Linked DNA regions of Caenorhabditis elegans. The protein of the gene in region 1 purifies or fractionates together with the protein of each later gene. This does not show direct contact. Each region holds a gene or a part of one and is shown on either strand. Other genes may lie near its edges. The genes, in order: M142.5, nsph-3.1 and hxk-2.

Region 1 (3,754 bases):
GAATTTCCCGCTAAAAATGTTCTCAAAAATATGAACTTCAGTCAAAAAAATTGCTGAAAATAGGAGCGTGTTTCAGCGCGCAATACGCAATTCAGGTGCACCTAAAACTGTTTTTCAAAATTGGAGAAAAACTTAGAAATACATTTAAAAAATTACAGTCAACACAATATTCTGGCATTTCGAAAAAAAAAGCTGCCAAATTTTCCAAATTCACAGGCAGGCAGGCAGGCGTGTTAACGCTTACATGGAAGCCCTACAAAAACAATGAATTTTCTTTGCGACTATAGTATACTGTAATTAATTAAATGCTCTTCTCTTAAAAAAACGAACTATAAGTAAGCTAAACTCTAATTGCTTTTAGTTATAAAACACTCCTTATTTCTCAATTTATGACTGAGACTCTCTCCTTCTTCTCCAATTTGAGGTACAAGACAAAATTGATGATGGCTCATAAAGTGTATGTATACTACTTCGATATGCTCCACCGATCTCCTCCTCATTTCATGATTAGTGTCTGTGTGTCTGTGTCCTTGGACACCATTTAGAGCAGCAGTAGGAGCAGCAGATGATGATAGATGACTACGCGGGAAACAACAGGCGTCTTAACTCTCAAGTACTGTGATTTGCATAAAAGTTCGCCGGGCAGCAGCAATGAATTATGTGTTGTGCGGGGGCAGAGGGTTTATGAAATTTATAAAACACATATGCTACATGTTGAGGGGGTTTTGCCACGTGGCAGGGCGGGAAACCAAGAAATTTGAACTTCTTCGACAAAAAATCTCCTCTTGAATCAAACCTGTTTTTTAATGCGAAAAAAAAACGAAAAAAAACCAGTCTTATTACAGGAACACGAAATTCTGAGAATGCGTATTGCACAAAATATCTCGTAGCGAAAACTACAGTAATTTCTTTAAATGACTACTGTAGAGCTTGTGTCGAATTACGGGCTCGATTTTTGAATAGTGACTTTAGAATTGTTTTCTCTTTTTTTTTGATTGATTTTATTATTTCATCTACATATAAATAAATTCTATTAATTCATTTCGAAAATGGAGACCTTAAATCGAAACTACAGTAGTCTTTAAATAATTACTGTAGTTTTTGCTGCGAGATATTTTGCGCGTCAAATGTTGCGCAATAATACGCATTCTCAGAATTTTGTGTTCCCGTAATAAGTATTTGAGTAAAATTAAATGAACATAAAATTTAAGAGCATGACATTTCATGAAAAAGGGTTTTTTTCACGAAAACTAATGGGGAAAACATTTTCAGAGTGAAACAAGCATAATTGATTGACTCCGAGCTCGGATCCGAGGTTATTGCATTTGCATTTCACACTTTTTCGATGGAAAATATTTTTTTTTCGAATATTGATGCAGATTTCCAGATTTTCGCTGAAAATTCATTTTCCATTTCGGTTTCAGGTCACTTTTTGCACGCGGTTCTTGAATTTTAACTCATTTTTCCACGAGAATTTCATTTTTTAAACAATAATCATTGATTTCTTGAACTTTTGCCGCGCGGCCAGCATCGCTTCGTATCGTGTAATTCCCCTCAAAAATCACGACAAACAAATGTTCAGTGTGGGTTCGCAACGGAGCGCACATGCTGACACCTCCCTTTTTCGTCTTTTTCCATCGGCGCCGCAGCATTTATCGACCCGTTTTTGTGCAGTTTCTTGTTTTTAATGCATTTTTTGTTTCAAAATTTTGAAAATAATTATTTTAAAACAATATAGTTGTCTTTGCAGCATGGCTTCGTGTAATCTGACAGCGTCAAACGTTGCGATCGGCGCCTGCGTCGAAATCGAGACGACGAATGGCTTGAGCGCCCGGGGAGTGGTAATTTCGTTCGACACGACTCGCAAGGTAAGAGAATTATCGATTTATTGAATTATTTATTAACCAAAAGCCAAAGTTTCAGGTTTTGGTTCTCGACACCAAGGAAATGGCGATTAACAAGCCAATGATTCGCATTTTCAACTCGGAGCACTTGAAAAATGTGAGTTTTTTCTGGCAAAAATCGGTACTTTGATATTAATAATTAATATTAATTTCAGATAAAAGTGTTAAGTGAAGCTCTCGAGGAAAGCGAGAAATTCGCGCGCGCCAAAACCGAGCAATTCGCCCAGAACAATCCGGTAAACGGTACACGGACCACCGAACGGCTCGACAAAACTCTCGGCGAGCTCACACCGAATCTAATGAAATCACCAGCAATATCGATTCGTGGACAACAAGCCTATCTGCAATTGAAGCGCACAATTCCGGATACATGTTGGTGTGGCGAGGATATCCGTGTGCTCGGGCTCGTGTTGGTTCACAAGCCCTACGAGGTGTCCGACGTGACAAAAGATGCAAAAGCGACAGGATTCGATGAATCGCGTGCCGAAAGTGCCGTACTTCAAGTTCAGAAAATTCTCTCAAAACCAATGACCGAGTATACGGCACGTGCTCCGCTTGATTTCACTATTGGAGCTATTGTGGCCAACTAGTTATCGATTTTTTCCCATTTTTGTATATTTTTTGTCCTAAGGCTGATGGGTTTAAAGAAAAGAGTGGGGAAAATCAAGAAAATCTCTATTTAAACCCATAAAAAGTAACATTTCGAGAATTTAAACTCGAAAATTAATTAATTCTGTGAAAATCGACAAAATTCCGTTTTGAATCGATTTTATTCAGGATTTTTTTAAAATTTAATCTTCAAACTTGAATTAACTGAATTTGAAGCCGATTTAAAAAAAAATCTCGAATTCTTCTATTGAAAATTTCAACGATTTTTAATAATTAAAATTCAAAAAAAAAATCTGATTAAAAAAAAACTTCGTGAAAATCTATTTAATTCTGAAAAATTCGATATTTTTCTTCATTTTTTCTGTGATTCCCGATAATTTCCAATCGTCTTCGAGAAAATGTAATTTTAATCGATTTAATCGACTTAAAAAATTTTCAAAACAAGAAAAAAATCAAGAAAACGTCGTTTTTCAACAAATTAGGTCGAAAATGTTGTATTTTCTCCGTTTTTAATTCAAAAAAAAAATCGATTTTCTTGCTATTTCCCCCTAAAAATCGATTTTTCGAATAAAAATTCATCAGCCGCGGGTCTCGTTTTTCAGGTATCTCTGTCCCTTTCAATATATATATATATATTTTCTCTTCCAAATCAACCAATTCTTCATTGCATTTGAACCTTTTCTCAGCATTTTTCTCCTTTTTTTTTTTTAGTTTTTTTAAATTTGAAATTGCCCCCCGTCCTCAATTATTTATTAAATTCCGCCCTAAAATATAATATATATTTAATTTTTTTCGTAGTTTTTTCTGTTTTTTCTGTGAAAGAATGGGTTAAATTACCATTTTATATCTTTTTTAAATCATTATTTTCTAAAATTGCTCGTTAAAAATTCTGAAATGGCAGTTTGAAAGCATTAAAAATCGATTTTTAAGCTAATTTTCGATTTCTGTGAATTTTTATTTCAAAAAAATCTGAATTTACGAATTTTTGAGCTATTTTTCACATTTTTGCATTCGAAAAAACACGAAAAATTGCCCAAATATTACAGGAATTCCAAAAAAAAAATTAAATAAAGAAATACCGGTTATTTGCTAAATTTAAATTTATTTTTAAAAATAAAAATTGATTTTTTTAAAGAAAAACTGGTTTAGAGAATCTGGTTTAGAGAGCTTTTTCAATAAAAAAATTATTATAAATTTTTTCAACAAAAAAAATTAATTTTAAAGCCGATTTGTTTGAAATT
Region 2 (3,754 bases), on another chromosome or scaffold:
CCAAAAGTTGGAATCGTGTTCCCGATGTCGATCCATCCTCATTGTTCAGTTGATAAGCACCGAACGCAGGAATGGCAAGAGTTGCCAAAATGGCCGATCCACCTCTCCCAATGAAAATTCCGAAAATTGGAGAAAGTACATATCCTCCAATAATGCTTGCAATTCCAGCTCCAAGAAGCAGAATTGAAGACCATCCGAAAATTTCGACGACTGAGGACGTTGGAAGACCAATTGGAGATTGTGTCTCTTGGAGAGCCGAGATGAGCTCTTGTGTTTGAGGCTGGATTTGTGATTGGAGTTGCTGGAGTTGTCCTGAACCTTCTTGTTGGAGAGCAGCCGCACGTTGACGTAGTCCTGAAAGCAGTTATTTATATATACAGTTAAGGTCACAGAGAGCACAATGGACTCATCGCGATTGAGGAACAGGCACTGTGTGCACGTTACGAAAATAATCATTTGCAATGCTCACTAGAGAATTGAGGCACATTTTTTGGCACTTTCACATAATCCGCTTGTTCCCATCGTTAAATCAAAGTTTTTTTTCCGGAAAATTATAAAGGAATATTTGTACTTTGTGAAAGTAGCTTTACTTCCAATTCCGAAAGTTCCGAAAAATTGATCAAAAACTGATTCAAATATCAATCGTCGTCGCTCATTGCCACTTTGAGTAATTTTTCAAATCTCCCAATTGAAACTAAAGTTGTTTTCTGTATACATTTCCGAAACAAAACTTCGACACAACAACGAGTGCCGATAAATTTGTTGCGCAACTCTGGTGCCAATCCTTAACAGTATATCAAAACTAACCTTCAGCAGCTTGCTGAATATCCTGAACGTAGTTGGCATATGTCTTGGTAACAAAACCAATCGATGCATCTTCCTGTCCTCCGAGTTGTGAGGCACCTCCTGGAGTAACAGTTGGAGCGACAGATGCGTCCGCTGGTTGGACTTCAGAAGCCATTGTTGGTGCTCCAGTGACAGCACTTTGGTCCATTGCAGATTGGCTTCCGTCGGCCATTTTTCTTTTTCTTCTTTAACGATTTTCACCAAAAGGTGGCTGGTATTGGATTTGTGAGTGGCACGAAGTGCTGAAAGCCTCTTGTTGAAGAAGATACCAGGATCAGTTGATGACTTACCAGAAGTTTTCCAACTCGAGACGAGTAAGAGTCGAATATAATAAAACTTTTATGAAGTTTTCGCTCTTTTATAATCAAATATTTTAGATCTAGGGCAAAGATAAGAAAATGTAGTTTTGACGATTCACGCAGAAAAGTATAGAATTTTAACTTTTTCAAAATTAGAAAAAAACATAATAATTTTGAAATTCTACTAATGAGGCACCAACAAGCTTCTCGAAACCAGGAGTGCAAATCAAGCACAAGATTGGATATTCAAGAATCAAGCATCGAGCCCCACTTGTTTGTCCAAGTTTGTCGTGCTTTCAAGCGAAAATTCTTTCAAGTTTTTTTGCAAACTTTTTAAAAATCCCAAAAAATTTTATAAGCTCAAATATCAAATATCAAATAGGTTCTAAAAATTCTAAAAACTTAATATTAAGCAAACATAAATCATCCTTTTTAAAACTGATTTCTTTTTCAAAGTGCCAGTAAATTTTCAACAGTTTAAACTTAAAATATAAAATTATCAATCCAAAAAGAAAAGTTAAACAAGTGTTTTTGTGTTGCTAAAATATCAATTCCGATTTTTCCCGACTTTCAGATAATGAATGCACGTCATCAGGCGTGCCATGCACATCTTCAGGCGTGCATACCTTCCTCATGCCTATACAGTAATTTCGTGACGGGCTCATCATGTGCTGCTTTAAATAATAAAAATGGCAAAAATTCACAACTAGGAAATATAAATGTTTGGAAATTTCAGAAAAAAACCCTCAGCCTTCTTCAAATGTTATTTTATCGGTTGAAATGTTTATAGTTTATTTATTATTCAGAAAGGTTTCTGATCTCAAAATTTTTTTTAGAAAGTGAGTATAAAAATGAATAAGCACGTGACTCCATGCGAACTTTGTCCAGTTGGAAATACGTGGCAAAAAAAAATAAAATTTTGGTATAAAAGCTCGAAAATTTGCTCATAATTCAATCTACAATCGATTTTTTCAACCGATCGTCCAACAAGAGACAAGTTCCTCTGAAAACGCAATGCCGAACCCGCCACCGAAGGAAGACACCTGGGCGTTTCAACCAATTGGAGCCCCATTCCCACCGAGTCCTGTGAAATGTATGGGAGAACAGAATATGTATGTTGCTCTTTGGTACAAGCACGGTAAACCAATCCACGGTCGCTCATGGAACAATGGAGGAGTTGTTGAATGTTCATTCCCATATAAGCAAGCTGAATTGACAACCAAGCAACAACTGGAAGGACAGATCCAGGTTCTTCAATACGTAGGAGACCATAACAATCAAGGTAAGCTTAATGGTGAAAACCTTATAGTTTTAACTTTATGAATTTCAGGTTTCTGGTACGAATGGATTAAGTACAAGGATCGTATTGAGAAGATTGACGATAAACATCAACTTGTGCGTTGTGGTGATTCATTCCCAATCTTCTGGAAGCGTGCCGAAGGAAATCTTCTTGGTTATGTCGACAACAAGACTGAGGAGGCTTGGTTCTCGTTCAATGGAAAAGTGCTGAAACAAGTTGGACCACAACTCAATGACATGTACATCATCACCCGTAACTGCATTGGTGGGCCACCATCTTGTGATTGTGCCAACTGTGGAAGTGGACCAAAGGTTCGTGTCGAGAGAGATGAATGGATGGACATTCGTGAGGGTGATGCATGGCCAACTCGTCAACTTGTCAAGGCTCTTGATAAGACTCTTGATACTTTGCCAGGTGTCAATCCAGATCAATACGTTGCACTTTGGTACATGCAGGGAGAACCTGTCATGGGTCGTGTATGGAATGAGGGTGGAAAGGTTAGTCTTGCTATTATTAAAGAATTCGCGTTCAATATGTTAAATTTCAGGTGGCTGCCAACTTCTCGTGGTTCAATAACGAATACACCAAGAATGTTGGATCTATCCAACTTCTCGTTCATCTGCCTGATAACCTTCGTGGTTTCGATTATGGATGGATTTCGTTCCCAGAAGCTGCCAAATTCGGAGACAAAGAATGGCATCCAGTTCATGTGAACAACCACAAGGGTGACATCTCAGTGGGAGTTGTCAATGTTTCTGGAGGAAAGCAAATTTTGGCAAAGGTCGATGTTCGTAATGAAAAGTACGGATATGGTTATCAAGGAAAAGAGCATACTGCTTCTGCAAAATCTTGTGCTGACAATACTACTGTCTTGTGCCGTAAGGCTAAACCAGGATGCAAGTTGGATGGTTAATTCTGTCCATTCCGAACTGTATTGAATATGTGTTTATTGATAAAAAGATATTTTCTTGTTCGTGTTTGTATTTTTTCCTGCTCCAGAAAACAAGAGAATAAAGTTAAAAGTGCGGGGGTTATCAATACGAAACAAACTAATGGGCAGCTGAGATAAGTGGCTACAAGAATTTGGCTTCAGAATTTTCTGCTAAGGAGCTACACAGAGCTGAAATTCTTTGTCCGAAAATGTCTACTGTGCTGTTGTGATATTTCTATTGAAAAATAATATTTTCTACATTTGAAAAATAAAATGGGATTTTTTAAAAGAAAATATACAACAACAATACAGCCGAAAGTTCCAGACGAAGAACAAGTTTATTAAAAAAATTCTCGTTGGTATTTTATTTCATTGAAA
Region 3 (3,754 bases), on another chromosome or scaffold:
TGGGGTGTTTTTCACGTTAAAATCACGAATTTTGAGTGAATTTTCATTATTTTTGCCGAAAAAAATCCAGTGGAAATTAGTGTTAAAAAGGTGTTTTTTACGTAAAAATATTGATTTTTCGGGGAAAAATCACTCTAAAATTGCTTTAAAATGAGTAAAAATAGGTGAAAAATCGGTTTTTTTCGGACGAAAACTTTTTAGTACAAAAAAATGAACATGTTGGAAAAAACAGCGATTTTCAGTAGTTTTCACATGAAAATATCGATTTTTCGGAGTGATTTTGAGGTAATTTTCAGCGAAAAACCCTCTAAAATTGCTTAAAATCGATAAATATCTGCTCAGAAAGATGGAAAACCCGGTTTTTAGTGAAAATTTAGGTTTAAATTTGGGTTTTTGGTGAAAAAAACAGGGATTTCCAGTGGAAATTAGTGTTCAAAAGGTGTCTTTTACGTAAAAATATCGATTTTTCGAGGGGAAAAATTGGAAATTTCAGTGAAAATTACCCAAAAATAGGTGAAAAACCGGGTTTCTTAGGGGAAAATCGAAAAAATTTGGATTTTTTAGTGAAAAAACACCCTAAACCTACTGAAAAAGTTGGAAAAACAGGGATTTTCCGTAGTTTTTCAACGAGAATATCGATTTTTATTGGGAAAAATGAGAAATTTCAGTGAAAATCACCCTAAAATTGCTTTAAAATGAGTAAAAATAGTTGAAAACCCCGGTTTTTTCGGGTGAAAATCGACTTTTTAGTGAAAAAAACAGCCTAAAAAACTGAAAGTTGGAAAAAACAGCGATTTTCACTATAGTTTTTTAATAGTTTTTCATATGAAAATATCGATTTTTCGGGGAAAATTTCGAAAATTTCAGCGGAAAACTCTCTAAAATTGCTTAAAATCGATAAATATCTGCTCAGAAAGGTGGAAAACTCGGTTTTTAGTGAAAATTTAGGTTTAAATTTGGATTTTTGGTGATATTTCAGTGGAAAATGCTGTTAAAATCGCTAATTTAATAAATTTCGGTGTGAAAATTCACTCAAAAACTGCCGAAAAATCAATTTTCTGCGAATTTTTTTTTGATTTTTTTGTTTTGCAAATCAAAATCGTGGATTTTTTAGTTATCTGGGGTGTTTTTCACGTTAAAATCACGAATTTCTAGTGAAAATCAACGAAAAACCGGGGGTTTTCTCGCTTAAAATCCAACGAACCTCTGTGTACTCGACTGGTGGAGGCCGGCGTGATAGTTTTGAGCACTCATTTGCTCTGAAAATTGTTAATTTTTGTGGAAAAAAACATTAAAAATTGCGAAAAAATTGCGAAAAAACCGAAAAAATAGAGGAAAATTGCAAAAAAAAACATTGAGAAATAGAGAAAAGGGGCGGAGTGGCTCAATTGCAATGCGGGCGCGCGATATTTGCAAACCGCCGCACACACTTGACATTTTCCGTATTTTATTTTATTTTGCAAAAAAAAAAGCATTTCTATCATCAATTTCGAAGGGTTTCGCCTGCGTCTCTTCGTCATGTTTTTCCTCGTCTTCTCGTCAAATCTTCACTCAAAAATATTGACAATTTGTGTGTGCCCCTGAAACCCGTGGTTTTTATTATTTTATTTTTCTTAAAAACAAATAAAAAATCTGTTTTCCCACTATTTTTTAATGTCAAAATTAACATTTTCAGCCCAAAAATCTACACAAAATGCTGGGTATCATCGAGCTCGGCATTCAATATCGGTATTTTTCACATTTTTCAATTTTTTCCGCCCGGGAAAAATCGATAAAATCGATAAAACCGCATTTTTCTTCAGGATATGGCGTTCACAAGCCCATGGAAAGGGAAAAAAGAGCCCGCGGACGCCGACGACTCCGCTGGCAAAAATGGCGTCGAAACTGAATGAAGAATCGATTTCGGTGGGAGATTTGGCGGAAAATTTCGGGAGAAAAACTGTTGAAAATGGCTTTTTAAGCATGAAAATCCTTATAATACACAATAAATTGGCATATTTCGCTGAAATTGTCGTAAAAAATAGTCGAAAAATGCAAAATTTCACTAAAAATCAGTCCATGGCCTAACTTTTCGAATTGGTGGTCTCGAAATCCGGCTAGGCCACCTTTTCAGAAAAATCTGATATTAACTTCATTTTCAATGTCCAAAAAAGTGAAAATCTTCGAAAATCACCGAAATTCGAATCGATGGCCTAACTTTCCGAATTGGTGGCCTAGAAATCCGGTTTTGGGTTTTCTAGGCCACCGTAAAATACAATTTGAGTATTTGCTGCTTTTTAACTCTAAAACCCGTTAAAAATATCAAAATTTGATCAAAAATCAGTCCGTGGCCTAACTTTTCCATTCGGTGGCCTAGAAACCCAAATTTCACGGCCACCAACCAATTTACCACCTAAAAATCGATATTTTTGCAGCTGGAATCCGTGATGGCCGAGTTTAAGCTGTCAAATACGACTCTCCGACGAATGATGTCCCATTTATCAGATAATATGGATCGAGGACTGGAATCCGGCTTGGAACGGTCCACAATTGCAATGTTACCATCTTTTGTGCCAGAATTGCCGAATGGAAAAGGTTTTTAATCGAAAAATCGAGAAAAAATGGCCTAAGAATGGGTTTTTACGGTCGTGGCCTAACTTTCCAGTTGGTGGCCTAGAAATCCAAATATACCATTTTCTAGGCCACCAAAGCAAGAATTTTCATAAAAATCACTGATTTTTCTCTTGAAAACGTAGAAAATTTGACTGAAAATTCAAAAAATCCGAAAAATTGGCTAAAAATTCGATTTTTCAATCCATGGCCTAGCTTTTGGTGGCCTAGAAATCCAAACCCATCATTTTCTAGGCCACCTACACAAAACTCATTCATTTCCCCCGAATTTTCAAGAAAATTCCATGTTCTGCTGAAAAAACGTTGATTTTCATATTTTCAGCCTATGGCCTAATTTTTGGTGGCCTAGAAATCCCAGGCCTCCATTTTCTAGGCCACCATCACCAAAAGCAGCAATTTTGCGCCAAATTTTCACGAAAATTTCATGTTCTACTGAAAAAATCGTAAATTTCAATGAATTCACACCATGGCCTAACTTTAGGTAGCCTAGAAATCCAAAACTAGCTTTTTCTAGGCCACCTACTCATTTTCCACCAGATTTTTACCAAGAACTCCATTCTTGCGGCAAAACAACAACTGTCATACTATGGCCTAACTTTAGGTGGCCTAGAAATCCCAGTTCACCATTTTCTAAGCCACCTACACCAAAATCAGCCACTTTCCGCCGAATTTTCAGTAAAAATCAATGATTTTCTTTTGCAGAACGTGGAAAATTCGTTGCAATGGACCTCGGAGGCACAAATCTACGTGTAATGTTGATGGAACTGGAGCCCGGTGAGCCGATGAGAACTAAACAATTTAATACAAGAATGCCAAATGCCGCAATGCATGGAACCGGACAAAAAGTACGAGGAAATCGGGATTTTTAGCCTGAAAACGCGCTGAAAAACTGGAAAAAAAGCGATAAAAGTTGAAGAAATTGCCACTGAAATTTGAAGAAAACCATGAAAATTGGGAATTTTCGTGAAAAAAGCAGAAAAAAAGCTATGAAAAACTTGAAAATTGGGGATTTTCAGCATGAAAACCTGGAAAATTTTGGTTTTTTACCCTAAAAAATCCGAGAAATTGACATTTTCAGCCTGAAACCCCTGAAATTTCATAAATTTCAGAGGGATAAAACTGAAAAATTGCGTATTTTAGCTTG

What was found.
Region 2: the proteins of M142.5 (region 1) and nsph-3.1 fractionate together in Caenorhabditis elegans (co-fractionation; one large-scale study listed by BioGRID). This does not show direct contact.
Region 3: the proteins of M142.5 (region 1) and hxk-2 fractionate together in Caenorhabditis elegans (co-fractionation; one large-scale study listed by BioGRID). This does not show direct contact.

The regions. Positions count from the first base shown.
Region 1 is NC_003281.10:10,929,458-10,933,211, forward strand, and holds M142.5 (AD domain-containing protein), read left to right. Parts: upstream 1-1,743; 5' UTR 1,744-1,751; coding exon 1,752-1,868; intron 1,869-1,917; coding exon 1,918-2,001; intron 2,002-2,059; coding exon 2,060-2,494; 3' UTR 2,495-3,304; downstream 3,305-3,754.
Region 2 is NC_003282.8:10,947,719-10,951,472, forward strand, and holds nsph-3.1 (Nematode Specific Peptide family), read left to right. Parts: upstream 1-2,091; 5' UTR 2,092-2,159; coding exon 2,160-2,427; intron 2,428-2,475; coding exon 2,476-2,942; intron 2,943-2,992; coding exon 2,993-3,358; 3' UTR 3,359-3,415; downstream 3,416-3,754. Other genes in the region: Y69E1A.1 (MFS domain-containing protein), read right to left, coding at 1-354, 808-1,018.
Region 3 is NC_003279.8:11,321,032-11,324,785, reverse strand, and holds the start of hxk-2 (Phosphotransferase), read left to right. Parts: upstream 1-1,675; 5' UTR 1,676-1,693; coding exon 1,694-1,728; intron 1,729-1,802; coding exon 1,803-1,905; intron 1,906-2,414; coding exon 2,415-2,574; intron 2,575-3,312; coding exon 3,313-3,455; intron 3,456-3,754. Other genes in the region: cdk-9 (putative cyclin-dependent kinase 9), read right to left, coding at 1,205-1,254.